Regions from separate parts of the Mus musculus genome. Here regions 1, 2, 3, 4, 5 and 7 are each reported to be linked to region 6. Evidence: microRNA targets listed by miRTarBase, many of them from high-throughput screens and not tested one by one. Region 6 holds a microRNA gene; each other region holds the end of a gene's coding sequence. Distances are from middle to middle.
What was found. The annotated mature microRNA mmu-miR-362-5p reads AAUCCUUGGAACCUAGGUGUGAAU and lies in region 6 at 2,968-2,991, opposite strand. An mRNA with a match to its seed (bases 2 to 7 or 8) in the 3' UTR can be bound and repressed. Matches are read on the target gene's strand: a 7mer-m8 pairs with bases 2 to 8, a 7mer-A1 pairs with bases 2 to 7 and ends in A, and an 8mer does both.

Region 1: the mRNA of Ppp1r3c is a reported target of mmu-miR-362-5p. The part of its 3' UTR that is shown has no 7-base or 8-base seed match.
Region 2: miRTarBase lists Amfr as a target of mmu-miR-362-5p. Seed matches in the 3' UTR shown: 7mer-A1 at 1,489-1,495.
Region 3: miRTarBase lists Gpm6b as a target of mmu-miR-362-5p. Seed matches in the 3' UTR shown: 7mer-A1 at 3,413-3,419.
Region 4: miRTarBase lists Alkbh5 as a target of mmu-miR-362-5p. The part of its 3' UTR that is shown has no 7-base or 8-base seed match.
Region 5: the mRNA of N4bp1 is a reported target of mmu-miR-362-5p. Seed matches in the 3' UTR shown: 7mer-m8 at 2,957-2,963.
Region 7: miRTarBase lists Kcnj5 as a target of mmu-miR-362-5p. Seed matches in the 3' UTR shown: 8mer at 1,036-1,043 and 7mer-A1 at 1,955-1,961.

What each region holds. Positions count from the first base shown.
Region 1 is chr19:36,729,992-36,734,058 of GRCm38, reverse strand. It overlaps Ppp1r3c (protein phosphatase 1, regulatory subunit 3C), which reads left to right. Exons shown (of 2, transcript NM_016854.2): 2 at 1-2,328. The coding sequence ends at 644. Among named protein-coding and RNA genes, the nearest start is that of Ppp1r3c, 4.6 kb to the left of the region's middle.
Region 2 is chr8:93,969,403-93,973,469 of GRCm38, reverse strand. Amfr (autocrine motility factor receptor) reads left to right here. Exons shown (of 14, transcript NM_011787.2): 14 at 156-1,882. The coding sequence ends at 303. Among named protein-coding and RNA genes, the nearest start is that of Amfr, 41 kb to the left of the region's middle.
Region 3 is chrX:166,386,810-166,390,876 of GRCm38, reverse strand. Gpm6b (glycoprotein m6b) reads right to left here. Exons shown (of 8, transcript NM_001177955.1): 8 at 1,844-3,925. The coding sequence ends at 3,776. It overlaps Ofd1 (OFD1, centriole and centriolar satellite protein), which reads left to right. Exons shown (of 23, transcript NM_177429.3): 23 at 1-844. Among named protein-coding and RNA genes, the nearest start is that of Gpm6b, 44 kb to the right of the region's middle.
Region 4 is chr11:60,553,621-60,557,687 of GRCm38, forward strand. Alkbh5 (alkB homolog 5, RNA demethylase) reads left to right here. Exons shown (of 4, transcript NM_172943.4): 3 at 94-249; 4 at 618-4,067. The coding sequence ends at 795. Among named protein-coding and RNA genes, the nearest start is that of Alkbh5, 18 kb to the left of the region's middle.
Region 5 is chr8:86,840,905-86,844,965 of GRCm38, forward strand. It overlaps N4bp1 (NEDD4 binding protein 1), which reads right to left. Exons shown (of 7, transcript NM_030563.2): 7 at 235-4,061. The coding sequence ends at 3,783. Among named protein-coding and RNA genes, the nearest start is that of Gm33877, 8.7 kb to the right of the region's middle.
Region 6 is chrX:7,239,052-7,243,118 of GRCm38, forward strand. It overlaps Mir362 (microRNA 362), which reads right to left and starts at 2,995; the gene lies at 2,931-2,995. The region is part of intron 2 of Clcn5 (chloride channel, voltage-sensitive 5); the gene reads right to left. Mir501 (microRNA 501) reads right to left here and starts at 2,300; the gene lies at 2,192-2,300.
Region 7 is chr9:32,313,729-32,317,795 of GRCm38, reverse strand. It overlaps Kcnj5 (potassium inwardly-rectifying channel, subfamily J, member 5), which reads left to right. Exons shown (of 4, transcript NM_010605.5): 4 at 1-3,089. The coding sequence ends at 216. Among named protein-coding and RNA genes, the nearest start is that of Kcnj5, 29 kb to the left of the region's middle.

The DNA.
Region 1 (4,067 bases), not on the chromosome of region 6:
TTCCAGAAGAACCAGCGTGGGACCTGCAGTTTGATCTCTTGGACCTTAACGATATCTCCTCCAGCTTAAAACTTCACGAGGAGAAAAATTTGGTTTTTGATTTTCCCCAGCCCTCAACCGACTACTTAAGTTTCCGGGACCGCTTTCAGAAGAACTTTGTCTGCCTCGAGAACTGCTCTTTGCAAGATCGGACGGTGACCGGGACAGTGAAAGTGAAGAATGTGAGCTTTGAGAAGAAGGTTCAGGTCCGGATCACCTTTGACACCTGGAAAACCTACACAGATGTGGACTGTGTCTACATGAAGAATGTTTACAGCAGCTCAGACAGCGACACCTTCTCCTTTGCCATCGACTTGCCCCGTGTCATTCCAACTGAGGAGAAAATTGAGTTCTGCATTTCTTATCACGCTAATGGGAGGATCTTCTGGGACAACAATGAGGGTCAGAATTACAGAATTGTCCATGTGCAATGGAAACCTGACGGAGTGCAGACTCAGGTGGCACCCAAAGACTGTGCATTCCAACAGGGGCCCCCTAAGACTGAGATAGAGCCCACAGTCTTTGGCAGTCCAAGGCTTGCTAGCGGCCTCTTCCCAGAGTGGCAGAGCTGGGGGAGAGTGGAGAACTTGACCTCCTATCGATGAGTTAGGCAATCTACACACTGCCCTTGTCTGATCATAATCCTCATGCAATTCTAGATCTGTATTGCTCAATATTAGGAAGTCGTAGTTACTTTCTATCAGTAGATTTAGGTATGAGCTGTTGGGGCCTGGCTATAGAAGCTATAGCTACTTGAGAATTCATTGTTGGGGGTTTTTGAGGGTGATGCCACCAGCTTTGTTCTGAAGGATCAAGGACAGCCTGGGAACTAGTTTTATACAAGCGACACCTTTTTTTGGGAGGTGCATCATTTCCCTCTCAGTTCACCAGCTTTCACTTTGACCAAGGAAAGGTTTGAGGACTGTTGATGGTGATGGAACGCTGTGGTAAGGGTGTGAGGAATGTGAAATGTATATGCCGAGGGCTCGAGTCAGCGGAGGAGCCATGGTTAAGTGGATATTAAGCCATTGGTGGGAACACATAAAGTTATCTTGTGTTTCAGAATGGGTTCTGCAGGCTTCTCCTGAGGAAATAGCTCAAAGATGGGAAAGAAATCCATTCTATGCATCCTTGTATAGGAAAATAAAAGGATGTTGGATGGTACTGGGGGAGAAGATGAACTGAAGAATCAAGATCTTGAGGGCTAGAGATGTAGCTCAGTTGGTAGTGTGCTTGCCTCGCATGCATGAAGACCTGGGTTCCAGGTCTAGCATCATACAGCTGGGGGTGGCAGCACATGCCTCTAATCCCAGTATGTTATAGGGAAGGCAGAGGCAGGAGGATTAGAAATCCAAGGTCATCCTTGGCACACAGAAAGTTGGAGGCTAGCTTGGGCTAGTCAAGTCCCTGTCTCAAGGAAATGATGATATCAAAAGATCTCAAGTGAATCCTTTCAGTTTAAACATGGTCTACCAGGAACCATGTTTTAGAGAGTGTTGAAGCACATCTGGCTTTGCATTCTTAATTGGATAAGCGGCTTTGTGATGAAGGCATCACTCTTGGGTTCTTGCTACAGAATGCTGCCTGACATCAGGCATGTTGTCACCAGTGACTAGCAGCATGTAGGGACTCCACATCGTGTCAAAGAGAGCTCTTTCAGTGCCTCCATTAAACCACAACACTGTAGCTGTTTAAACCAGTTACCTGAATGCTCATCTAATAACTCATGAATGTTTAGGACCTTATTTGAAGGTCTATTCACTGGTGTCCTTCTGAAATCATCAGGAGGGCCATCAGTGTACACAACTCACGTCCTTCATATTGAAGGTGACTCATCTTTCTGCCACACTTTTTCAATGTGACATTTGAAGTGGGGACTGACACCAGAGTCTCAATGCAAGAATCCAGGACCTTGCACATGAAAGTATCGGTCTATCTCGTGCCTAATTTTGTCTTGCTGTTTTAATTTCTAGTCAAAATGCTTTTAAAAAGTGTAGATATGAATTATTTTGAATGTGAACTGTTTTTGCGTGCGCATAAATCCACTTTGTGGGATCTTGAGGACAGGTGTCCTGGGTTGATTGTCCGGTGTGCATGTACTTTGAGGTGAGTTGGGAAAGTGCAGTGGATTGTAATGTATGTGATCTGCCATGCTGGAAAAACACTATTGGGATACCTCCCCTGTGATGGTATTTGAGGTTTGGCTAGCATCCATAAGTTCTCTGCTGTAAATACCTACATTGTCCCTATGAGCCTCTCACTTTTAGAATAAATGTGCTTGGTAAAAGACCCGAGAATGTTTTCTTTCCCCCCAAACCATAACTGGTTAGATCAGAAATAGAGCAACTGAAGTTCTCCTGTTTTGCCTAGCAACAACCAAGCAAGCTGGTTTGGAGCAGGAGGTGGCTCAACCTGCACACATTCACCTGCCTCAGACTCGAACGTGACCGCGGCACGTGACCTCAGGTCTCGTGGCGGACGGTGGACAGCTGACAGCCGGGGCTTGGGTCCAGAGGCAGTAAGCTGAGCTGCTGTAACTGTGTCTGTCTATGGCTCCTCCTTCTCTCACATGCTTTCTGCCGGGCCAGGCTTAGCCTGGGTGCTACCTGTCACTCACACACTTGGGGGGTTGGGGGGAGATAATGCAGGAGGTGTGCAATAGCTCTTACGTTTTGAGCTCTAGTATCTTTCTGAGGGGCAAAGCTTGGAACTGCAGAGAAATCCCAGGAAGGGCCGATGGGTATTACTTTTGGGCTGAAGGGGAAGCACAACTTTTTAGGGTCAGTCAACAAACAGGTCCATGAACCTAAGCCGCTCTTCCAGTTTTGCCTAAAATTTCCATAAATGTCTTCACACTGCATCATCATCATTAAAATTTATTTATTTATTTACATCCCAAATGCTGCTCCACCTCTCCGTCCTTCCCTCACAGAGTCCCTCCCTCACCATGTCCTATCAAGTGTCTGTCAGGTTAGCACATCCTCTCTCATTGAGGCCAGACAGGGCAGCCCTGTTGGGGAATGGATACCACAGTGAAGACTACAGCTTTAGAGAGAGCCTCCATTCCAGTTGTTGGGGGACCCACATGGAGACTGAGCTGCACATCTGCTACATATGTTTCACACTGTATCTTAAAAACTTTTATTGAAAAAAATTTATATACTCTGATCATATTTTTCCCTCCATGAGTTTCTCCCAGATCCTCCCTACCTAGTCAATTAAATATATATATATTTAAGAATCTCTCTTTATAAAACAAACAAGAAAGAAAGAAATACCTATTGGACTGAGCATGGGGTCCCAGATAGAGGAGTTGGAGAAGGGACTGAAGGAGCTGAGGGGTTTTGCAGCCCTACAGAGGGAGCAACAGTGGCAACAGGCCAGACCCCCCTCCCCCAGAGCTCCTGGGGACTGGACCACCAATCAAAGAGTACACAGGGAGGGACCCATGGTGTTGGCCGCATATGTGGCAGAGGATGGCCTTGTTGGACATCAGTGGGAGGAGAGGCCCTTGGACCTGAGGGTGTTCAATGCCCCAGTGTAGGGGAATGCCAGGGCAGGAAGACAGGAGCGGGTGGGTGGGTGGGGGAGCACCCTCATAGAGGCAGGAGAGGGGGGGATGGGATAGGGGGTTTCCGAAGGGGAGACCTGGAAAAGGGAAAACATTTGAAATGTAACTAAAGAAAATATCCAATTTTAAAAAAAAGTCAGACCAAAAAAAGCAAGCAAGCAAGCAAGCAATACCTCTCCCACACAAAATGGAAATCAAAATAAACAAGTGAAAGACCCATAAGACAAAAAAAAAAAAAAAAAAAAAAAGCCCAAGCAAAGCAAGATGAAACAGAAAGTCTACAAAGAAGTACCATTGTGTTGTTATGAGTTGGTTCTATTCTTGGGCATGGGCCTGCCCTGGAGTGTGGTTAATACACACGTTGACACTTCATTGGGAAAAACTGACTTTTCTTTTAGCCAGAGGATATCAACTGCAGATAGCTTCTTGCTTAGGAGTGGGAGCCCGTGTCCACTTC
Region 2 (4,067 bases), not on the chromosome of region 6:
CCTGCTGCTGAGCTGCACTGTACCCGAGCCATGGGCAAGGCTCTTCTCATCACAGGATGGGCTTGAGTGACAGCTTTGTGAAGATGCCTGTGGAGAAGGGGAAACTGTCTTCCCGTTTCCCATCTTTCTCTCTCTTGTGGCTTTATTTCTTATAGGCGGTTCTTAAACAAAAGTTCTGAAGATGATGGGGCCTCAGAGAGACTCCTCCCTTCTGAAGGCACATCCTCTGACCCCGTGACCCTGCGCCGAAGGATGCTGGCAGCCGCTGCTGAGCGGAGACTTCAGAGGCAACGGACAACCTAGTGCTTCCTCACCTTCCTCAGCCTCCTGCCCAGCTCTACCTACCGGAAGAGGCCTGTCCCAGTTCTGCCTGCTGTGTGGAGACCTGCGACTGCATTGCTGCTGCATAAAGCATGTGGTCTTTAGTGTGTGGACAGCTGACAAATTTAATCCTTTGTAATACTTTCTTTGTGACATTTCTCTTCCCCTTAGAAACATTGCACATTTTAACTCTAGGCATGGCCTCTTCTGGTGTTGACTGGACTTGTTGGGAGTAGGGGACGAGCAAAAAGAAGTGGGCACTGGGGCGCTCGCCTGCCTGCAGCAGCTAGTTTGAATTTCTGTTTTGATATAAACCACAGCAGATGTTGAGTATTTTAGCACCACAGCTGGAAGGAAGCACGGATCTTGGGGAGGGTGCATAACAGCAGTCAGAAGGTGCGCAGCAGGAGCCTGACCACCACTATGGCAAAGTAGCCTACGATTAAATGCTGTGCTTAGGGAGGAGGCCAGTCCCACAGGCGCCTGGACCTCTAGACCAGCAGGACATGGTGTAGAAAGAACTGGTTTGGTACCTGGAGTAGAAAGAGGAAGCTCAGGGCTGCAGAATGAGGAGGCCCTTTTCTGCCCTTAACATTCAGGACCAATCTGAGCCCAGTCCCCAGCTGGCTTCACTTCCGTCACTCTGGTGCTCTCGCATCACAGAAGCTTGCCCCCATGGCTGCCGCCTCTTCCTTTCCTTTGGTTATGACTTTAATTCCTTGGTCAACCCAATTAGGCTATGCTAAACATATGGGTTTGATCCTTGGAAAAAGGCATGGGGCCTGCCCAGCAAGGGCAGGGGTGTTTGGAGGACACTGCTGAAGAAACACCTTTCGTATCTTTGTCCCTGGAGCCCTTGAGTTCCCTGCTTTTGTTCCTGTGGGTCTCATTAAACGGAAACAGAGGATGTTGAATAATCCACATGCCTCAAGCAGACTCGGTCCCAGATCGGCTCAAATTCTCCACGTATTTAAGGATTTGAAACATGCAATCATAGGATACATAGTTTTATGTCCCATTGGATTAAGGTTTTTTTTTTTTAATGTTTCAAAACATAGTTTTATGGTAGTCCTTTTGGGAAAAATCCAGTATTATCTAAAATTATTGGCAAAGTTAAATGTATTTTACATACCTGGAAGTTTTTAGACTGTTGATAAGTAACTGAGAAAGGATAACAGGCGCCTAGGTGAAGATAATTTATTTCAATAAATCTTTCAAAAGCCTTACCTTGAACTGCTGTTAGTTAAATTCCTGTGGGTTTTTGTTTTGTTTTACTTTGTTTTGCTGAGAGCGTAGCAATTTGTTTTTATTGTAAAGCAACAATAATAAAAAGGAAAATCTCTTGTAGTGTGGTGTGGGGGCAGTGGAGTCCCACGCTGCTCTGTGTGTGCCGTTTGGGTTGGGGTTTATAATGCTGTTCAACTGGGAGGGGCGTGGTTTATAATGCTGTTCAACTGGGAGGGCGTGGTCGCTCCTGTGTTTTACTTGGAGGAGGAAGCACTGAGCTTGTCTTTGACACCTTTCCAGGCTGCACATGAAAATAAAGGGGAAGCTAAGTCCACTGTTCTTCCATTTCAGATGTCGGAAGGTGGGAACCGCTTGCAGTCCGTTTCGGAGGGTCTACAACATTGTAGAATATTGAACAGATGTAAATGGAAGTGCCTTAACATGGCTTAAGATGTCCAAGGAGAGACGCCCCAAGTCTATGCTTGGTTTGCTCCCTCTGTAGATGGGTTGGGTCAAAGGGAAGCTGGTGATGAAGTAATCTGAAGAGTCAAGGGTTCTGGGTGCAGTAGAAGGCTTCATCATTTCTTGGGGACACTGGACAAGTGCTAAGTGAAGGCACCAGCTCCAAGAGGCTTCTGGGTCATTTTGGAACTATTCTGTAGTCCTCTTTTCCTTATTGGCCATATTTAATTTTTGTCTTCTTGGATCCTTAATTTTTTCTTTAAGCTTTGGCACTTTTATGTAGCAGAGAGGGTGACCGACTGCAGATTTACACTAGGGTTGGGTTGACTTTTGGGTGCTCAGGTAGCCTCTGACCTTCCCTAGAGCGGTGCAGACAGTGCTCGTCAGTTTGCAGCCAGCAGTCCTGACCCTTCCCTGAGAGCTCTTTGGTAGCTGGGAACACACAAGTAGGCTTGTTAAGGAGTTGTGTCTGTCTGCTTTAGAAGGCTCTCTGTCCTACCTGAAGATCCATTCCCCATGTCTGCTTTCAATACGTTTGGAGGTGGTTCTCACCCTGGCTGTACATGGAGTGTGTGTGTGTTTATAAATAATGTATAGAGTCTGCCCCTGTGCTGCTTGTACTAAACCTTCCTCTCCCTAGCCTTCCCAAAAACTGATTTCTTACCTTTCCCTTAAGAAAGAAGGCCATGCTAGGATGTAACCTGCTGGGTACTGCCTTGCCTAACATGCACAGTGTCCGGGACTCTATGTTTAGCACTGGGGGAAAGAGAAGATTAAGGTTTCAAACAAAATTGGCTTTTATCTCTCTGTAAAAACCACTTATAGACTGGTAAGTTGGGAAAGAACTTGCTAGAACTCACTTTGAGAGAAATCCAGACTGGTCTGGTCGTGTTCACCTTTGGCCTGCCGTTGGGATCTTGGTTTGTCGTCTGATATAACAGTCAAGGTGTAGATTGGTTGGAGGTTGAGTGGTTCCCTCTGTATTCAGCAAGTGAAGGCAGTTGGTAAGGAAGCCACTGGAAAAGAGGTGTGGCTTGGTGGAAGAGCCTTCTGGGTGTGCCAGCATTTACCAGGTACCCATGACAGCTGGGGACAGGACCATTAGACTTGGTCTGAAACAGTTTTGTGTCTACACCTTCACACATACACCATGCTGGGTTCAAATGACCAAAGGCTATGACATGTGTCTTCTGAGCTAAGAATTTCCACGTGGGGTGCTGTTGGGATAGGATTTCATTAATAGACCTTGTAAGGTTTCCCCATTACACTGATACAGAACATGCCCTTAGCTGCTTGCCTAATGATTGGCCTGTGGTGTGAGGCATTTTGGTAGGCCCAGTCGCAATCCATTTGCTAGTTCTTATGCAAAGCCACATAGTTTGAGAGGTCATAGAGAGATCACTGGCTGAAAAGCTCAGACTCTGAGAGCCAAGCTGTTTTGTCTTGCTTCCCATGTGCCTCACCTGCTGAGACCCTTGGACCTAGCAGCAGTGGGACAAGCAAAGCCAAGGAGAAGCCTTCAGGAGAGTCTTTGGGCTGAGCTTGTCCTTTGGCATCACAGTGGGTGTGCAGAAGGCTGGGGCGGTTTGAGCTCCTTGGAAGCACCTGTTTTCCTCTTGGAGAGAAAGCCCTGGCCATGGAAGACGGGAGGGGCGGCCGGGCTTGTTTCTCCCTGTTTCCTGCCCCAGTCTCAGGTCACTGGGAACCATAAAACCAGATGTGCTGGAGGAGTTGCAGCCAAAAGAAGATGCCCATCTTCCTGCTCTCATTCCTGTTTGTGTATGCGTGTGTGTGTGTGTGTGTGTGTGTGTATAAATGTGCCTGCAAGAGCACACACATGCACACATGAGAGACAGGAGAGAGGGGGCTGAGGGGAAAGAGGAAAGACAGTTTCCTCAATTACTGTGCTACTGAACTGTCTCCCCTCAGTGACAAAATGTTGAGGGACCTAGACAATCCTGTGGAGAAATTCCTGACCCACCACCCTCCCAGGGTATGTGGCCAATTGTCTCCTGTCAGATTGAAGCCCACCCCAGGGACGATCGTCTGGAAGGCAG
Region 3 (4,067 bases), 160 Mb from region 6:
ACAGAGTCAGCTGAACCCTTCCCCCCTCCCCTTTTATTTTTGGAGACAAGATCTCTGTGAAGCCCTGGCTGGCCTTGAAGTCACAGATTCGCCTGCCTCTGCCTCCCTTTGAAGGCATGCACCACCACACTTGGCCCATGTAGTCCTCTAGCCATGGCATGTATTCATTGTTTTAAAATGACATTCCTCTCTCTGGCTTTGTCTTAAGTTACATCTATTTGAAAACTTATCTTGTCACCTTCCAGGCTTGCATTTGCTAAGTTTAAGCTGTGTGCCTCCTGCTCCACACTTGGGCTATAATGTGTAAAACAGGAAGCCATCCTCCCAGCACAGTTTTGTCCCTGGACATGAACACAAATCTTTTCATTGTAATGTCTATAAATAATATTTTGCATCTGGTGTGGTTAAACTTGTAGGTTCTCCAGTATTCATATGTTTGAACCCTAGTGTGATGGTATTAGCTGGTGGGCCTCTGGGGCGTGATGCCATGAAAGCAGACCCTCCTACATAGAATGAATGAGAGCGCAGTCATCCCTTTCAGAAGTACCAAGAACTTGACACTGTACAAACCAAGGCCTGACCCTTACCAGGCACTGAACTTGCCAGCACTTTGTTACTGAGATTCTCAGTCTCCAGAACTGTAAAAATGAAACAAAAACTCCAAAGTTCTATTCTTTACTCCCTACCTTGTCTAAGATTATTTTTGTAGCAGGAGTAAGCCAGCATCTTTACTGTAGAATCCTTTAATCTTATTTATAATGGATAATGGGTGAACTTGTTGATTTTTAAATATTTAGGTTACTAAATATTTTAAATATTTTAAAATATAATAAAAAGGTAACTTATAACTCTGACTTCTTTTTTTTTTTTAACCCTCCAAGACAGGGTTTCTTGGTCTAGCAGTCATGGCTGTCCTGAAACTCACTTTGTAGGTCAGATTGGCTTCAAACTTATAGAGATCTGCCTGTCTCTGCTGCTCAAGTGGTGGGACTAAAGGTGTGTGCCACCACCTGGCTCATTTCATCCTTTAAAGTGTGTGTGTGTGTGTGTGTGTGTGTGTGTGTTTAAACCAGAGGTAATTGGAAAAACCTGTGTCCCCCAGAGGTTCCTATGTTTGATGGTAGAATTACTGTCAAGGTTACTTGTGGTTGTGTTAAAGCACTCTAGTATTTATTCAGGAGGCTTATCCAGTGACACAGTGCAGCCTGAGCAGACGGTGTTAAGTGAGACAAGCTTCATTACATTGGAGCTCCTGCTCATTTCCCTGCAGTGCGTGAGTGAAGGGGAATGATCCAGAGGCAAGTCCTCATTTAGAGGTGCTGTGCCCAGAATGCTAAAGGCACGGCCTCACATGGAGAGCAAATGCATAGGCACCCTGACAGGGTTCTTTCAAGTTAGACAAGGAAATCCCCACACAAATTTAGTGCTGCTGCTTAAAGAATCAACTTAGACTTAGCTTTCATTATATCCCCAAATATACCTTTCCCCCTAGACTTTGGCTTATAAGTCAACAGTTTATAGACCCTTATTCAAGTTCCCCATTTTTTCCTTTGCCCAAGATTAAACTATGTATGTGTCAATCCTGTAGGTAGATGGCTTTTTATTGGAGAAACTAGTTGGGAAAATTCTGTGCGTTTCACACTCAAGTGCTAGTAGCATTTTATACAAAGTACAGCTCAGTGGGCTACAGTATTTTCTCAATTTGCTCTTGCTAAAAACATTTTGCTTGTGTTTGTGTGCACGTGCAAAATGAAACCAGTAGCAGTCTTCCATGGACTATATGTCTCTACCTATGTAAAATCTTGATGATGTATATTATTTAAAAAAAATGACACCATACCGCGAACAGAGAAAGATAGGATTTATGTATGGTAAAAAGGCAAGCGAATGAAGCTATAATTTTATTTCATTATTCTTTAGTACATCCACAACTATTTCCACCTAAATAGATCTTTAAAATAAGCATACACAAGTATTGACTATTATCTACAAATATTTATTGTAACACTTGAATAGAACTACAGGAAGCCCTTGGCACTGATAGAAAATATTGATTCACTGTTAGGTTACAAAAATTTATACATAGCAAAATTTAATGCTCTTTACATAAAAAATATTAGACTACTTCAACAAAACTTTCAAAAGTTCCTGGCAATAGCTACCAGAATTAGAAAAGTAAAATTAGGCTTTAGACACCGCCTCTTCTAGAACACTGGACTCTTAACAGCACCTCCACTGCTGGAAACAATAATTCTGTCATGCAACAGGAAAACAAAACACTAAGCTATCTTGGAACAACTGTTCTACACAGAAGAGAGCGTCTCCCAATTAAAAGGAATCCAATTAGGCGTTTCTCGGCATTATCCAAAAGAAAAAAAATCCAAATGAAATATTATAGTTGATGTTCAGTTTTACTAGCATCTTGATAAAGATATGCTTCCTTTCATTTGAATACATCTCTGCACATGTATATGTTTTAAAATCCAGGAAACAGCCAAACCACAAGTTAACTCTTAACATGAATATACATAGTTAACCCTATAGTATGCAGCCCCTTTGAAAAGCACTGATGCACCCCACAGTTATATGGATCATTCCAGAAAGAAGAACACAAAACTTACCATCACTAATACCCAGTACCTATTAGTCACTTAATGTTCTGGAACACAATGAGTTAGAAGGCAAGTTTCTTTTGAAAATGGCTTAAACTCAAGCAGTTTTCTTGCTGAATATCAAACATTATTATTCCAGGAAATTAAGATTTAGATAGGAAAACAGTGAAATAAATACCAACCCTAATTTAAATTACTTATGTATTAAAGTCTATAAAAGTAGAAGGTCAGAGGTCTGTGGTCAATTTGCAGTTAGGTTTTAGATAGTTGATATGAAACTGTAAACTCACTGTCCAGACCACTTAAAAATGGTTTAGAATGGTAGTCACTTTAACAAGGTAACACTTCTTAAGAAAGATATTCATGGAACAAAATAATCTATGTAGGAATTTTGGGTTTCTGGTTACAATATAAATGATTAGAAATTGAAAGCAAATATTAAGGCAGAGCTGACATTTATTTCCAAACAATAGTGATCACCAAATCCTCAGTCCCATTTTGTTCCGATGTGATCAACTGGGAAGCTCATTTTGCAGAGCTCGGGTCAGAATCCAGCTTCTGCACTGATACATTTAGCACACTTGCAGCTCATTTTCCTATTACTAGAAGATAGGTTTCTCAGTGGCTTGGGAAACATTCGAATGTGTGAGACCGTGAGGGTGCTGAGTTTTAAGTTTGGAAGAATCACATTATCTTTGATGAGCCAAAGGTTAATAAAGGTCAGTTATCAAAAATGAACTTGACACTGATTCTATTTTGATAACACTTGAAGACAGGTGGCATATGTAAATCTAGGGTCATATCCTTTGATTCTGGCATGCCATAGGTCCCCAGTAAGGAACGTGATGTGATTCTATCCCGTGTTAAAACTGCTCTAGCAGTTAACTGGACATGCCACGACTTTGCAAAGGATGAACGGTCATTCTGTCAAAAGTGTTGCCTTTTAAAATGGCTAAAGTGAAACCTCCAATATTTGTTCTAAAGAAACTGATTTACCCACTGGAAGGTTTTCCTAGAGATCCACCCCAGCAGTTTGAGACAGACAGTGAAATGTTGGTACGTCTACATTAGTTTGGTGGGATACACATCTGTACTGCAGAGCAGCTGTCTGATGATGTGTCAGAGCTGTGAATTCATTGGCTGACACGCTCTGGCAAACACTTTTAAGTGTAAGAATTGAGTTGTTCTTTTGAGCGAGACTGGATATCTTGCAGTTCCTGCTCTTCCTTTGCTTTGATATCCTGGTAAGCCTGCATTTTGCTTGCATCCTTTAAGTAAGCCCAGTTAGAAGACAGTATCATGAGGAAGTGGATCTGGAAAAGAAGGGTGAGCATGATGGCTAGTGAGCATGTGAGAAGGCAAAGCGAGCTGCTAGTCACATTAGACGGATCAGCTGGAGAAGGGCGAGGGTTATTCGCTATTAATACTCTTCTGCTGGCAGAGCTGGCAGACACG
Region 4 (4,067 bases), not on the chromosome of region 6:
ACTGCTGGTCTTCACTGGAGACAGATCTGTCCTGATAGGGTTTATGCCTTTACAAGATGCCCTTTTGAGACTCCATGTGTGTTTCCTTTGCAGGACAAGATTAGATGCACCGCGATTGGAAACAAAATCCCTGAGCAGCTCCACATTGCCACCCAGCTATGCTTCAGATCGCCTGTCAGGAAACACCAGAGACCCTGCGCTGAAACCCAAAAGGTCCCACCGCAAGGCAGACCCTGATGCTGCCCACAGGTACTTAAACCCACACAGAAGCCAGCAGTGCAGCTGAGTAGGAGAGTGGGGAAGTAGGGGTGTATGGCAAAAGCCTGCAAGACTTTGAATCTGAGGTAAGGGAAGCCCAGCACACCTGACACAGGCCTGGGCACCAAACTCAGAATTAAGCAGACTCCATAAGGTGTCTTTAAGAGACAGCCCAAGACAGGGACTGGCCCCTGTCACTTAGTGGGCAGGCCCCACTGTTATCAGTGCATCTTGATTGAGATCTACTGAGTCAAGCAGCCCAATTCAAGGATGGGGCTTCTGAAGTCCCCTTTAGTGACTGTAAGACTAGAACCCTCCTTCTGGCTTCTCAAGTAACAGCTTGTCCCTCTTGTTTGCAGGCCCCGGATCCTGGAAATGGACAAAGAAGAAAACCGGCGGTCTGTGCTCCTGCCCACACACCGGCGGAGGGGGAGTTTTAGCTCTGAGAACTATTGGCGCAAATCCTATGAGTCCTCGGAAGATTGCCCAGAGGCAGCCAGCAGCCCCACCCGCAAGGTGAAGATGAGGAGACACTGAGGCTCTGTGCCCTCTTGGGACTCTGGCTAATCCTGATGTAGCTACCCCATCTTCTGTTCCGTTTGAGTGTTTTTTTTCTTTGTTATTTTGGTCCTATATACGTTTTCCTTGCTTTGTTGACCATTAAGGCTAAAGAGCGAATTGGTAAAAGACCTGGGTTCTTTTGTTCTTGGCTTTCCTCCTTGATGGAAAAAGCTGTTGGCTTCTGTAGAGAATTGTTCACACCAGAGTAGCCAGTAGAGACAATGGGGACAGCTGTCTTCAAGTGGAAGTTTATTGAAACACACAAAATGTTTTGGTTATGAAATTCTAGTTTGGGCTTTAAAATGTAAATCTTTGTAGTGTTTTAAACAAAAACTATTCTTTTGCCAGCCTTTTCTTCCACTGATGCTCATGCTTGGATGAGGTCTCTTGGAGCCATACAGGTCCTGCATTGGGTCTGCTGTGCCCATACATCTCACCTGCTGTCCAGGCTCTGGAATCTCATGCAAATACCCTGTTCCCCACTGTTCAAGTTTGCTGCGTATGGGGCTTAAACAGTGCCATCCCCCCGCCATCCCATTTCTGAGTCCCCAGGTTTTCTGCATGCCCTCTGGCTTGCTCTGCCCACCAATCCTGGATGGTCAAGGAACTAGCACAATGGTTCTGACCTCTTTTGCTAAGAGCATGCCTGTTTGCTGGGTTGCTCCTGTTAGGCATATGTGTGTGATTGTATGGAACTGTTAGACTTGCTGCAGTGGGTCATTTGTAGGAATTGTTTCTAGCTAGAGGAACTGATTGGCTTCCAATCTAGCATTTGGGTTATGGGAACTTGGGGTGTGTGGTAGGGCTTCATTTCTTTTGTTCTGAGGTGTTTCTCCTCCCTTTAGTCTCTTTCTCCTCATTTGACCATCTTGGGCCTCTTTTCCCATATCATCTCCCTAAGAAGATGTGCCTGCTCTGTCCACATATAGCATATATCCAAGGCCAGAAGTCAGACCTGCATATTGGATTAATACTTTCTCAGTCTTGGGGCCGGGCCTGGGGGCTGGGAAAGGAACTTCTAAAAATAATAGAAAAAAAAATACAAAGGTAAAGTCTTTGAGAGTTTCTGCCTATTTAGATCCTGGAAGGTGGGGTTCATTAGGATTGACTTTGGCAGCCAGGCCAGGACTGAGCCTGCTGAAAACAGAGGCCTTCTAAGCAGCCATGCCACCACCACTCTAAGTACACAAAGGTCTGGCTCTCGGGCCTCAGTGGCTGCAGAGGTGTGGGAGCACCCAGTCATCAGGAAGTCTCTTTGGGGTCAGATCCTTTGCCAGTGTGGAGCCCTCAAGTTGAGACTGCATAACTAAAGCAGTCACAGATCTTCTGTGGTTTGGGGTTTTTGTTTTGTTTTGTTTTCTTGTTTTTTACTGCTCTTTTCCAAAAAATGATTTGTAGTTGTGTGTGCAGCACTTTGCCCTAATATGTGTGTGCTCTACAATAAAAACCAAATCTAATATATTTTGAAACAGTTGTCTGATGCTGTGGTGAGAGAAAGCCTGACTTTGGTTTTTCCCTTAATTTATTTTCTTGACCTTCCAACTGGATTTGGAGAAAGCTAATTTATTGCCCACCAGTCCTCTGAAGATTGGTCACTGACACCCCTTGATTGATGGCTAAAGGTGGACTTGTGTTTGCCCACTGCCCTCTCCCCTTCAAGGAGGGTGGCCAGGGATACACCTCATGGAATTCTAGAAGATACAGTCTCTCCCTGGCTTGGTAGAGAAGCTGCAGGCCAGTACAAACACAGGTGGAGCTGGAGCAGGGACAGAGGAGCTCAGGTAGAGGACGTGGCCATTCTTGTACTCAGCAGCTAGGCTCTTGGCCTCCCTGGGTGTAGAACATTGGTAGATAAAGCAGGTAGGATAGGATGAGATTGGGACTCAGTGGGCTCCTCCAGTCCACTGGGGTCCCTAATGTGGATCCCAGGGTATTGCCAACTGTCAGCAGCTCTCCAGCTCTGCTCCAGTGATCTGAGCCAATTTGCTCAAATTGCCACTGTGAATCTTGGTCAAGCCATTTCATTGCCCATAGAATGACTGGCCAACAGTTTGAAAAGCAGTGGTAGGTCTAGAAGGGTCAGGGCCTCTGTATGAACTGTGCAGTGGACTGGGATGACACTAGAACTGAGAGGAAGCACCAAATGTCATCCCAGCTGTGATGTTGCAGAAGGGCAGATCCCAATCCATGCTTGGGTGGCTCTTCCTAGGGACAAGGGATGGAAGAGATTTTGATACCAGTGATCTAGGCTTCAGTCTGTCCTGGGATAGTGCCCCCAGTCCTTATGAAGTAATAGCCTTAAGCAAGTCTCTCAGAGTCCCACACCTGACTCTGAATCTTTCTTGTTCTAGCCATGGCACTGGGCCTAGAGCTTTGTTTGGCCCCTGACTCAGTCTTCATGTTTATAAAGTAGTTTTCTAACAGCAACTGGATGTACCAGCCCTACCCACCTAAGATCTCATTCCATTCCTTTAACCTTGTTGTGTGAAGAGTGTTCTGTAGGCCAGGCTCAGGATGGGAAACAGACCTGTATATGACATGCTTACATGCATGTAAAGGTGTTCTATAATGTATAGGAAGGCAGTAGAGCCCATTAACTGTAAGTGTAAATAACATGTACAGTGTGCTTGTAAATCTCTGTAGTTAGTTGTTGCCCACAGAACATTTTAATTGGCTTTCTGTTTAAGTGTGGAATTCATTATCTACCTGTGGTTATAATTCACACACCATGTGAGGGAGATGCATTTTACCAGTTTCTCTTAGTTTTCTATGGCTGCCAAAACATTACCACAAACTTGAGAGCTTAAAGCAAAAGAAATTTGCTAGGTATGGTGGTGCGTGCCTCTAATTCCAGCACAGGCTGAGGCAGAAGGATCAAAAGTTTAAGGCCTGCCTGGGCCTTGTCTCAAAAAGCAAAGCAGCCAGGCATGGTGCTTGTCTGTAATGCCAGCAGGAGTGTCGCAGGTTTGAGGCCAGTTTAGTCTACATAGGGAGCTTGAGGACAGCCTAGGCTACATTGTGAGACCCTGTCTCAACAACAAAGATATAGACTGTTTTGTGCTCTCCTTAAGACTTTGGTAGGAAGCCTATTCCTGCCTCTTGCGGCTTGGTATGGCTCTAACCACTCTAGTTGCAAGTACTCTAGATTCATAGTCACATGGCCTCTTTTTGTATGCTACATTTCAGTGCCTCTCTGCACCCCACCGTGTGTGTGTGTGTGTGTGTGTGTGTGTGTGTGTGTGTGTGTG
Region 5 (4,061 bases), not on the chromosome of region 6:
ACTGCTCGGGATGGTTCCATCTGGTCAGGATTCCAGGGCTAGGCAACTCTGTCCAGGATGGTATGTGCTGAATTCCTCCCACCCCCACCTCCAAAGGGGGACAGATCGAGCCAGGCAATTGGACCCACCCCCAAATTGAACAAAGGTGGGTCCCGTCTCTGAACACGATCACCATAGATCCTCCAGGGACCTCTTGCCAAAGCCGCAGTCAAGAAAGCACCACCCTCCAGCTCTCACTTGAACAGACATTTATTGAGCACCTACCAAGTGCAAGGCACTTTTAGGTGCCACAAGAGATACAGAGTGACCATATGGTCCCTGCCCACGAGGAGCTCACAGTCTAGAGGGAGGCAACACAGTACACAGTTGGCTGCAGCTACACCGGCCAGAGTGGTAAGAGCCAGAAGCAAGACACCAAATTGCCATGGGGCCACAGAATAGCATAGAGCTGCTTCTGCTCTGAACACAAAGAGAACTCAGGGCTGGGCCTTTGAGGAGGCAGGCTGTAGGGAAGAAGGGCATGTCTATGAGAGGAAGAAACATGAACAGGGCCTATGGGGAACCTAGATCTGGGTGGCTGGAGTAAGGATCATGGCAAGAGAAAGCAGACAGTCAAGTGCGGCCATGGGGCAGCAGCCGCGGACACATGGCTCAGAGGGTAGGAACGTGATGCTCTGGTCGAAGATCACAGAGGAAGAGGATGATGCAAAATGGCCCTCTAGATGAACTTGGAGTCCCCTGGAATTAGGGAGAGGGAAGAGCTGTAAGGTAGCCAATGAGGGAGGGAACGGTGTCACGGAGGATTGTGGGAACAGGTGGTAGGCAGTAGCAAGCCAAGGGCCAAGAAGGATTTAAGGGACCTCAGAGTTAGGTGAGAGATGGCAGGATGCAGGCTGAGGTTCTGGGAGCCAAGATCCCACAGGGTTAGTGAGAGGACTGGTGTCACAGAGTGGAGGGTAGTCAGGAGAGTGGCGACTCCTAAGGAAGTCCAGTTCCAGACCACCTACCAGGGCCCTGCACTCAAGGCGTGTGGCAGTGACAAGCCACCAGCTTTCCTCTAAAGCACTGAGTCCATCCCTCAGGGCGGTGACAGATTGACAGCCTGCCTTTTAGCAAGGGTAGCAAGGGTTGCCCTTTTCTCTGTAAGCCCAAGGGGTGGTTCACCTTGAGAGCCACCTGCTGAGAAACTGAATTAAGGCTAGGCCTTCAAGAAGAAAGGAATGGAGCGCTTCAAGAAGGAAAACAGAGAAAGGGAGGCCAATGGCTTTGCTGTCTGTAGCTACTCCATTAATGATGAAATGGCAACCAGTGATTTCCCAGGCTACTCCCATGTGGTGGGCAGAAGCCAAGTTTCCAAATCTGGGAGGGGAAAGTGGGAAGCCAGAGAGAAGCATTAGCAACAGAACGAAGGGTGTTTTAACTAAAGGGATCAGAGGAACCAAGTAACGATTCGGGCGAACAGTGCAACTGATGGACCCAGCTGAGGTGGCTCAGAATGCTGAGGAGGGACAGCCCTGGAGAGGTATGGGGAGCAGGCAAGGGCCTGGGTGAGCCTGGTGCAGAGGGCCTGCAGTAGATGCCCCTCCCAGGGGGAGGGCTAGGTACTTGGGACTGGCAAGGAGAGGTGGAGCTCTCTTTCATGCCTAACATGTCCTAGAAATACAGCTGAGCCTGTCAACCACACTGGACCAGGACACACACACACACACACACACACACACACACACACACACACACACACACGACACCTTGTCCAATGACCAAAGGTATCAGCCTTAGCTGCACTGGCCGCCTCAACCAAATGCCAGGATACACAGGAGGCAGAGGCACTCCACACAGGGAGGAATTCCAAGACGCTCCCAAGTTCACTGAGGAGGCACTGGAGGGATGGAGGTCAAGCATCTACAAGCACCTAGCAGCAACAGAGCTTTGGATGAGGCAAAGAAGCAAGTTGTGAGCTTTCTTCAGTGGCTGGATAACTGGGCTGTAAATGTTATACCTAAATGTGACAGATTTCACAAAGAATCTAGAATTATATTTCACATTATAATCTACAAAGTAATTAATGCCTTTTGGTTTCCTCCAGCTTTTTCCTCCCTCCTATATGGGGCAAGGGGAAATGGGCAGGTATCTCTCAGAAACAATACTAAGAACACAGAGGCACACAACTCAAAGATCAGGCTAGCCGAAGGGCCTTTGAGAGCCTGTGCTCCTCAGGCCAGCATCAGGCTGAGGCAGCTATGGAGTACTCCCGGCTCTCCTGGTTCCCAGCAGTGCTGGGCTGGGATTGACCACACCAGGAAGCCCTGGAGACAGCTCCACCTTGGCACCTTTGCTGTGCTCCCAAGCTGAGGCACTGGGTGGGGGACTGTGGTGGGTCAACTCCTGGGGCTGGCCAGAAGTCTCTGTTCTGTACTCACACAGCCTGCAGGTCTGAAACCCCCTAGGGACAGATGACAAACAGCTTCCCAGCAGGCTGGATCATCAACAAATTCAGGAGAGATCACGTAAGTATGGCCACCTAGAAGGCTCTGTTCATCTCCTGATGGGTGCAGGGACCAAATGAACCAAGACACGGCATGGTGGCAGCATTCTGTGATCTACACAGTCCCTGCACTACGGATAACAAACCAGCACCAAGTCCACGGTTACCTGCGGGACCGGGAGAACAACAATCCACAGGGCAGTGAATTTAACCACAAGGGCCTGGAGACTGCATGGATGGAGAACACAAAGCCCTTTGAAGGTCCAGGTGAGAGCCAAGACACTAAGAATGACCAGGAGGGGGTTCACAGACACAGACTTCAAGCTACACCGAGAAGAGACAATACTGAGATAACTGGTTCTGAAAGACTCAGGAATTGCTGCTAAGAAACCTCTAAGTAGACAAAAGAAGGGAAATGCAGGGGCTTTGAGGCCCTTCTGAAAGGACTAATGCTATTTATTGGCTTGGGTCATCCTTGAGAATAGAAAACTTTTTGGCAAAGCTGTACAAACGCCACATGGGGGGGGGGGGGTCTCCTCACCAGAGGCTTCAGTGCCTACCTTGTCTTCTGAGGCTAAGGTAGCTGTGGAGCCAGGGTGGGAGCATGGCGGCCATGGCTGGTGAGTGCACTACGGAGCTACGCCAGTCAGGGAGCATGCTGGGGCTGTACGTCCTCTAAGACTTCCCACCTGCTCCTCAGTCTGACTTTGTCTGGCCACTGGTGACAGCCCGGGTGTCAGATGCCATCTAGTGGCTCCACTTCTTCACTCTCATAATGGCTCGCTGAGAAGGCCCCACAAGAGCAGAGCAGGCCCACTCTAGGGATGAAGGCAGGGGAGCACACGCCATGTTTAGTGAACAGGACAAATTACCTCAAGAAAATAGACTTTAAGAAGTCTTGCTTTCCTTAAGGAAGCAACTCCTTTTTTTTTCTTAATTTTTTTTTAAAATTTTATTTAGAAAGGCTAACCATATTTATTTGTCATTTTTTCTTCAGCTTTAAGGAAAATAGTTTAAAAAACATAAAACTGTAAATACACTCAAGAGTAACTGCTATTAAACAGTTCTGAACAGGCAGAAAGAGTACTTTCCTTTTACAGAAAACGTTAAGTCTGTAATAGCAGCATAATTTATATATAGAAAAAAGCTGGCTTTGAAACCCCAGACTTTTGTATACATAAAACATTTCCCTCCTTTTTCTATACAACACAGCAATGCTTTCCGGGAAGGCTTCTTCACGTTATGGTCCATCCCACGGTTGGCAGTTCCCCAGCATCAGTGGGCTCCAGCCCAGCCGTCAGTCCAACACCAGGGCCGACAGGGCATTCAGGTCTTTCATGTACGGATGAGCTGCCAGGATCTGGTCGATCTTCAGCTTTTGCTCAGAGTCAGGGAAGATCTTTAGCAGCGCCTCCCTCAGCTCGCTGGTCTCTGCAGAAGATCTCTGTGCTGGCAGGGGTGGGTTCTGCTGCATACTGGGAAGGGTGGCCAGAGCTGTGAAGTGGGACTGCTGGGGAAGCCAAGGGCTTGAAGAGGTCTGGATCCGGGGTGGAGGCTGGTGGCTGTTGTTGGCTAC
Region 6 (4,067 bases):
AGCACAGCATAGTGAACAGTCAACATGTGCTAATTAAATCACCTGGCAGAAGATTCATGATGACAAGGCCCACTCTCATGTGTAATCCATGCACACAAGGAAGTGTTTGAGTTGGTTTTGGTTTTGTACACCAATTATGTGTCTGTCTATAATATTAGGTACATGCCTACAGAAATCATGCTACGGTTTCTCTCTCTTTGTTGCATATTCATTTGCCCACATGCCATCATCAAGTGTGGGAATGAGAAGGCAGGAGAGACCAGCTGAGCTTCTCCCAGACAGCCTGCATGAACATACATAAGAAAGAAGGGAACTCTTTCCTCTCTAGCCCCTCACCTGGCTGGATTCTGTGATTATAAGATTTGAGTGATCATCAGAATCAACTGGAAGGCTTAAAGAGAATATAAACTGCTCTGTGTTATGACCTGATAGGTCAGGGGTGGAACTCCGCACTTTGAATGCATTCCCATGTGACGGTGATGCTGCTGATTCAGGGATCCTGCCTTGAGAATCACCACTGTAAATGGCCATTCAGAACATGAAGCATCTGGACACGGTGGCACATCAGACCTATAATCCCAGCACCCAGAGCCTGAGGCAGGTGAACCAAGAGATCTGGGCTACTCTGGAATAGACAGCAAGTTCCAGGCTGGACTAAGCTACTTAGTTAGACCTCCCTCATCTGAATAAAAAATATACATGATATAAAGACTACTATTTTTAACATGAAAGAGATTCACTTTTCTTTTGGGATCACATGTTGCCCAGGCCAGCTTGCAAATGTGTGTAGAAAAGTATGACCTATGGAGGTGGGTATAGGAGAATCAGCTTGAGGGACAGAGCTACACAGTAAGACAGTAAGCTCCTGTCTTCAAATGGGAGTAGTGATGGTAGTTGACAAGAAGTCACTTAGTCTACTGGTCTTCGGGCTGAAGGGATGAGGAGAGGGAACAACACAATAGGCTCCATATCCACTCTTCCTGTGAGCGAGTGACTCCTCTCCACGTAGGCCCATGTGTTTAGGCATATCTAGGGCCATGGGAGGGGGAATAGTTTGAGAAATCTCATCTATCAGACCCTGCACTGAGTCATTCATACAGAATAGAAAACAAGGAACAATAGACCTAGGTCATTCTTTTGAACAGCAGTTGGTGAGTCTATAATAGTCAAGGATCTTAGTGTGTTTATTAGTCTCCTAAGAGAGTAGCACCTCTGTTCATTTTGTTTCCTGCTACATCCTCTATGACTAACAGAGCTGTATCAAATAGTGCATACCTGAATATTTGTGAAAGGAAGGAAAAGGAACAGGGGTGTGGACATATAGGGGCTCTGTCCTTTAAAGTGCAGGCGAAGTGCCACCCTTTGGATTCCTTGGACAGGACTTACTATTGAAAACAGCACTTGTGCTGAGGATTAATGTTCCTGATGAATCAGGTCAGATAATCCTCTCTGTGGGCACAAGTCTGTGAATCCTCTCCTCTGTATACACTGCATTTATATGGGACTGTGTTAAAATATGGAAGAATCCAAGTGGACAGTGTACATGAAGTCCCAGTCTACAGTCCACTCATGCAGGCATAATGGATGTGACACAGCTCACTCTCCCTGGACCATTTGCTCCCTGAACCACATGTGGTTCATACTCCTGTGGACCAAATCCCTAGTTGAGTACCTGCCATACTGAATAAATAGACAGGAAACAGTGGAAGGAGGCGTAAAGGTCCTACATGAAGATAACTCAATGTCTGAACCCTTGCCCAGGTATATTGCATTCGCAAAGCACACTCATCCAAGTAGCAAGTACTAGAAAGGCACAGCCTGCACCTATGCCCTTGGCATGTGGGTTCAACAAGAAGGCTTACTGTTCTTGCCCTGTGCATTCCTCCAAGAGTTGAACTAAAGAAGAATTTCTCTTCCAGGTGTCGGTATGAGAACTAGAATGAAAAGCTGCGCACTTATGTCAATACACAGTTTACTATGTGCCCCACTTGTTCTTGATACCTGTTAGGGTCATAAGTGGAAATAAAGTTCTACCTATAAAATCTAGGTGGGAAGAGGCCAAATTTGTCACATTTACTCTCCCATGCACCATGCCCGTTGTATTTGTAGAAGGAAAGAAGGTGGGGGGAGGCATAAAAGAAGTATGCAAGCAGCAAACAGATGAGATATGATGCACAGACCTCCTGTCCTTCTCCATGCAGATCAGGCTCACCTTCCCCAAATCCTTGCCCGGGTGCATTGCATACAAATAGCATTTTCACCCAGGGACAAAGGATTAGAGAGGATGAGCAGAGCAGAAGGCCCAGGCACCTGTACCATGTTTGTGTGGTTCTGTATATAATATTTAATTTTCCTTGTCCTGATTCAGCCAAGCATCACCACCTATACCCAAGCTTGACATCCCTGATTTATATATGTATCTGCCCCCTTCCCACCATGAGCATCCTCTCTCAGAGAAAACTTCTACGTATACAAAATGGTATCTCTCCCAGATCATACTTGAGAATTTGTGGGGGCCTGATTTATGTTTGGAAGGTAGCAAGAAGGCTGGGATCTGAGAATGCATATACATACTGAAAGAGGGCACAGTGGAGGAGGATACTCCATTCCTTTCCAATGCCTTTATACAATTCAAGCTTTGTGGAACAGGGGTTATCACTGGATGTAACAAACGGGTTGCCTGAGTAGCAGCACCTAATGTGTGCTCCTCATCACATGATCTGACACTTAGCAAACTGGGAATCAAGAAAGCTCATGCTGAGAATAGAAGCATGTCTACCAAACATGATAAAGACCATTTTGCTGTTAGAAAATGTGTAGAACCAAGTCTGACAGCTAAAACCAAAATCAAATGGTGGCCAGGAGGAGGGAAGGTGGCAGGTGAGATGTGCAAGTATGGGCCATTCTACACGCAGACAAGGCTCAGCCTCTTTGAATCCTTGAACAGGTGTGTTGCACTGAAGCAGCATTCACACCTAGGTTCCAAGGATTCGAGAGGGGGAGCAAGCAAGAAGGCTCAGGAACCTGCCCTTCCTGTGTGTGGTCAATATGCTTGTGTGCAACACACTAAAAGAGAACGAGAGATGCGCTCTGTCCTTTACAAACACAAAGGTCTGGCTCTCAGAATCCTTGCTGAAGAACACTCTCACCCAGGTAGCAAGGATCAGAGAACTGAAGCAGGGCAAAAGGCTCACAGCAAATGAACGCATGGGCTCACCTTTGACACAAGGTGCTTATCTGTGATGAGAAAGAAGACAATGTTCTTGAGCTTCACATTAAGTATGTCTAGGCACCTGAGTTCAACTCCCAGCCTCCACATAAAAGAGCCAAGCGTGAGGACTCAAAGAAAGCTAGATCCCTTGGCCTAACTGGTGAGTGCCAAGTCCCTATTAGAGACTGTTTCAAAAAACAGGGTAGATGTCCCCAAAGGGGAAGCACCTCAGGTTGACCTCTGCACCCTCCACACACATACACAGAAAGAGAGAGAGAGAGAGAGAGAGAGAGAGAGACAGAGTGACAGACAGACACAGAGACAAAGAGAGACAGAGACAGAGAGACAGACAGACAGACAGACAGACAGAGACAGAGAAACCTGTCTAAATATATACATTCATATTTTGTTCTGAGATTATAAAAATATAAAGCCAGAGATACAAAATACTGAAAGAAAAAAAGACAGAGAGACAGAGAGAAGAGGCCATAAGCTCACAAGATGGCAGTAGAGATTGGCATCCTTTAACACACATCAGCATCTTGTTAAAGTTACTTCAGATACCTGGAGGACTTGGTACTAAGATAACTTACAGAGGTTTCTCATTAGTGAGCTCAAGATTTTGTATTTCTAAAAGGGGCTGGGTGATGCTGGGGACCTTACCAGCATCATGGATAAGACAGAGAAACTGTGGAGTTTGGTATCTACAAACCCTGTTTCAAACCTATACTTCACCATGTACTGGATTAAAGAATCTACCTGCTTTCTCCAAGGTCATGGACTACTTCTAAAAAATGAGAATAACAAATGCTATCTCTTTAAAGAGTACCAAAAAAATTAGGTAAGATGCAAGCCT
Region 7 (4,067 bases), not on the chromosome of region 6:
AACACTTTCCATGACACCTATGAGACCAACACACCCAGTTGCTGTGCCAAGGAGCTGGCGGAGATGAAGCGGAGCGGTCGGCTCCTCCAGTACCTTCCCAGTCCTCCCTTGCTTGGGGGCTGTGCTGAGGCTGGGAACGAAGCTGAGGCCGAGAAGGATGAAGAGGGTGAGCCCAATGGACTGAGTGTGTCCCAGGCCACCAGGGGCTCAATGTGAAGTCTGTGTGCTACCCAGAGCCTCTTCTTGCCAGACACCGAGGAGCCTGGGAGGCCAGAGAGGCCAATTAGTTGAGCAAGCTTTGTGGGGCCCCAGGAGTATGGAAGCTCTACAGAGAGGAATAGTGTGTCAAGGCCTCACATCTCCTCCTTGGGGCCTCAGAGAAAGTAGCCTTGCCTAGGCCTCCTGACAAGTGCTTTCTAGGCCTCTGTGAGAGCATTAGTTGCCTCCAGAGTGGGGCTCCCAATGAGAGTTCTAGGGTGCCATCTATCCTCTGTCTGATTACTGGAGCCTGTTCACTTTCCTCCCCAATTCCTGGTCTCCTCAGCACAACACCTGAGACCTTCGGATCAAGGGAGGTAATTTTATCCATGGATACTCAGGCCTCCAGCTGGGGAGGCGTTCACAGAGGCCTTCCAGGGGCAATGCCTTTTAGTCTGAGGCCAAAACCCACTAATTAATAGCTTCTTAGCAAGGCCACTTGTTCACCTCTGATACTACTTAGCGTGTGTTTTCCTCATCTGTGTCGAGTAGACACTAACACTATGGCTTACAGGGTAATTGATTTCATTAGAGTGGCCTTAGGACACCAAGTACCTAGGAGCATACACCATGTCGTTCTCACTACTGCCTGACACCCTTAGTCATACTGTGCTCTGTGCTTCAAAGGAGAGCCCCCCAGCAGTTGTACCTTTTGTAAGACTATTTGGCCCAAGAACTTCAAAGAACCTGTGGAGTGGTCCTGGGGAACATATGAATTTCAAAGAGCCAGATGAGCCCTTTGGTACTAACACAGGGATGGCAGACAGGAGAGAGACACAAGGATAATTTTAAAATAAGATGATCTGGAGCCTGTAATCCTAGCGTTTGGCAGGCTGAGGCAGAATTTCGAATCTGAAGCCAGGCCAGTCTACACAGACCGCTCTCAAAAAAGCAAGAGACAAATAACAACCAAGAAAACATCTGCCGCAGTTGTTGCACGGGGGCTCCTTGGAGAAAAGTAGGCTATGAAACACAAGTGACAAGTGCCCATAAAGGCATCTTCAAGCTGAGCAGCCTTAGGCTGCTACTGAGATGCCTCTGGGCCTCCCTTCTGTGGAACAGCTCCAACATGGTGGTGGGACCTAGAGGGCGGGCCCTGAGGACAGGATGAGAGTTCGTGGGTGACTAGGGGGAGAAGAATCAAAGAGTGGAGAAGAGCTTTGGGGTCCACAGCCTCACAGATTTTTCTCTTCCAGTCTAGGTCTGAGGGTCAGGTCAGTGAAGCATTAGGTTGAAAACAATAAGCTGTCCTGGTCTTGGGAATTGGCTTACATGTTTCCTGACACCTCTACCCCAGTGTTTATGGCTCTCAACCAGCCTTTGAAAATAGAAGCACCTTCTTGCCAGGCCCTGGAGAACTTTCTCTGGCATCTATAGGGAGGCAAGAAGCTAAGGCAGCCTAGAGAATGGCTTCCCAACCTCAGGCCTTGTGCCCCTCAGACTGGGTGCCCGGGTCCCTGAGCTCGTAAGGAGATGGGGTCTGTGATGGATTGTTACACTGTGGATCCCTGCACTTGGCATCTGCACGAGTCTAGGCCAGTGGGTCTCAACCTTCCTAATGCTGTGACCCTTTAATCCAGTTCCTCGTGTTGTGATGACCTCACAACATTATAATAATCATAGCATTATTTTTGTTGCTACTTCATAGTTTTAATTTTTCTACTGTTATGAATTGTAATGTAGATATCCAAATTTGAAGGATATCTGATATGCAATCCCTGTGAAAGGGTTATCCAACTCCCAAAACGGTCTCAACCCACAGACCTACAGGTTAAGACTGGTCTAGGCAGAGGTGTGTGTGTGTGTGTGTGTGTGTGTGTGTGTGTTGTGCATGTCTGTGAGTGTGGTATATGTGTGGATGTACGGGGTGGTGTGTATATGTATGTTCGTGTGTGTATATATGGTGTGAGGGTTGGTAAGTAGGTGTGGGATTGGGTGGAGATGGTGTGTATACTTAAGTGTGTGTGTGTGTGTTATATGATGAATATGGTGTTTGTGTACATGCGTGTGGCATGTATGATGTAGCATGTGTATGCTGTGGTGTGTATGTCTTTGTGTGTGATGGGAAAGGGAGTCCACAGTGATGAGGTAGGGGGTTATACATCTTCTATGTGGTGAAACAGGTCTAGTGGAGAATGGAAAATGAGCAGCCATCCCTACTCAGGAAAGAAAATCACCGAGCGGGTCCACAACACCCAATAGGTAAGCTGCAGGAGTCTAAGGATGGAGTCTGCTGATGAGACTAGAGGTCTAGGGTAACAGGAGATGCAGTCATTGTCACAAGAGACAGACACTCAGCCTGGCTTTCTAGACCCCAGGCTTAGGCAGGCAGGATCAGTTCTACTCCTTGGTAGGCCTGTCTTGATCAGAACTAGCTAGTGCCTACAGGTTAAGACCCTCAGTGAGTCAAGTTGGTAAAGATAAGAAATAGCAGGGAATGATGCTCTTATGGCCGGACAGTGGTCTGGCTCCTGTTTCACAATTGCCTTATTTGTATTTCTGAAACATCCCCCACTTGGCCAAGAGAGAACAGTGGTCTGTGTGAGTCAGGGCCACTGGTGTGTCAATGAGAAGCTGTGGAGGCTATCAAAGAAGTGGATGCACTCCTGAAGATACCCGAATGCCAACGCTGATATGTACTGGAGTTAGTAAGATAACAGACCCAATCAGGTTTCTATCGTGGTGACCTAAGTGTGAGGGGACTGCCCTTCCCATCCCAAGGACATCTCCATATCAATGAACAGTTGATGTCACTAAAGTTTTAAAAACTCTTCAAATAATTTTCTGAAAGTTCTTGACCAATAAATTTAAAATATAGGTTTATAAGTCTGATGCTGGCCCATATCTCAATGGATCACTGCTCCTACATATGAGCCATGTTAGTCATGGACTTTACTGTATGACTCAGAGCTCATTCCATCCCTCATGGTCACAAAGAACTGAGGCAGGGCTAGAGAAGAGGCCAACAATAATTCCCAGAGATCTCTGTTCCTGCTGACTTCCTGCCTTGACTGCCATGTCCTTCCTCTCTGGAAAAAATCCCTTGCTCCGTGTGCCAGTAGAAATTCACCCACACTGGAGAAGGCAAGTTCTTACTGGTTCTCTCCTCACTCTCCCCAACCAATCTGACACTTCTGAGGTTCTGCCAACATAACCACGAGACCCTGTTCTCAGGCCTCTCTGCTTCAGACGTGGCTCCCACTGGGCCCCGACATAATCAAGGAACCCATGTGTGCCATTTCTCTTGGCTGCTTTGAGAGCCTGCCTGAAGCAGTCAACACTGATGGAGAAGAGCCCCTGTCTGCCTGGGGAACATGTCCCTGCTTGTCTGTTATCTGTAGCAACTGGGAACCTTCATTCACACCTCTTATCCCATGGCCTGCCTTCCAGCTGGCCCTGGCTCAGTGAATCCTTTGGAGCCAGGAACTTCCCCTGAGGGTGACACAAAGCAAAGATTGCACATCAACTTGTAAGACACCCCGGCCTCTGTCGGGTGGAGCAGTGGTTAGAGAACACTCCTGCATTCTTGGACTTGGTTCTGGTAAAGGTGTCTGGAGATCTCTTTTACCACAGATGGAAATGTCTCAAGCAAACACGATGGGGCCATCTTCCTGCACAAACACCCTTAGGGATCAGCTCCCAGGCTGCAGGCACAGACAGAGCCCTCACAGTGGCTCTGGTCGATTCCCGAGCAGTACTGTAGAGGACAGTCCCTTTTTCCAGCCTTAAGATAATTAGGAAACACCTTTTTCTGATTCCCAGAGAGCTACTGAGCCGTGGAAAAAGAGATTCCATGGGAAAGAATGGCT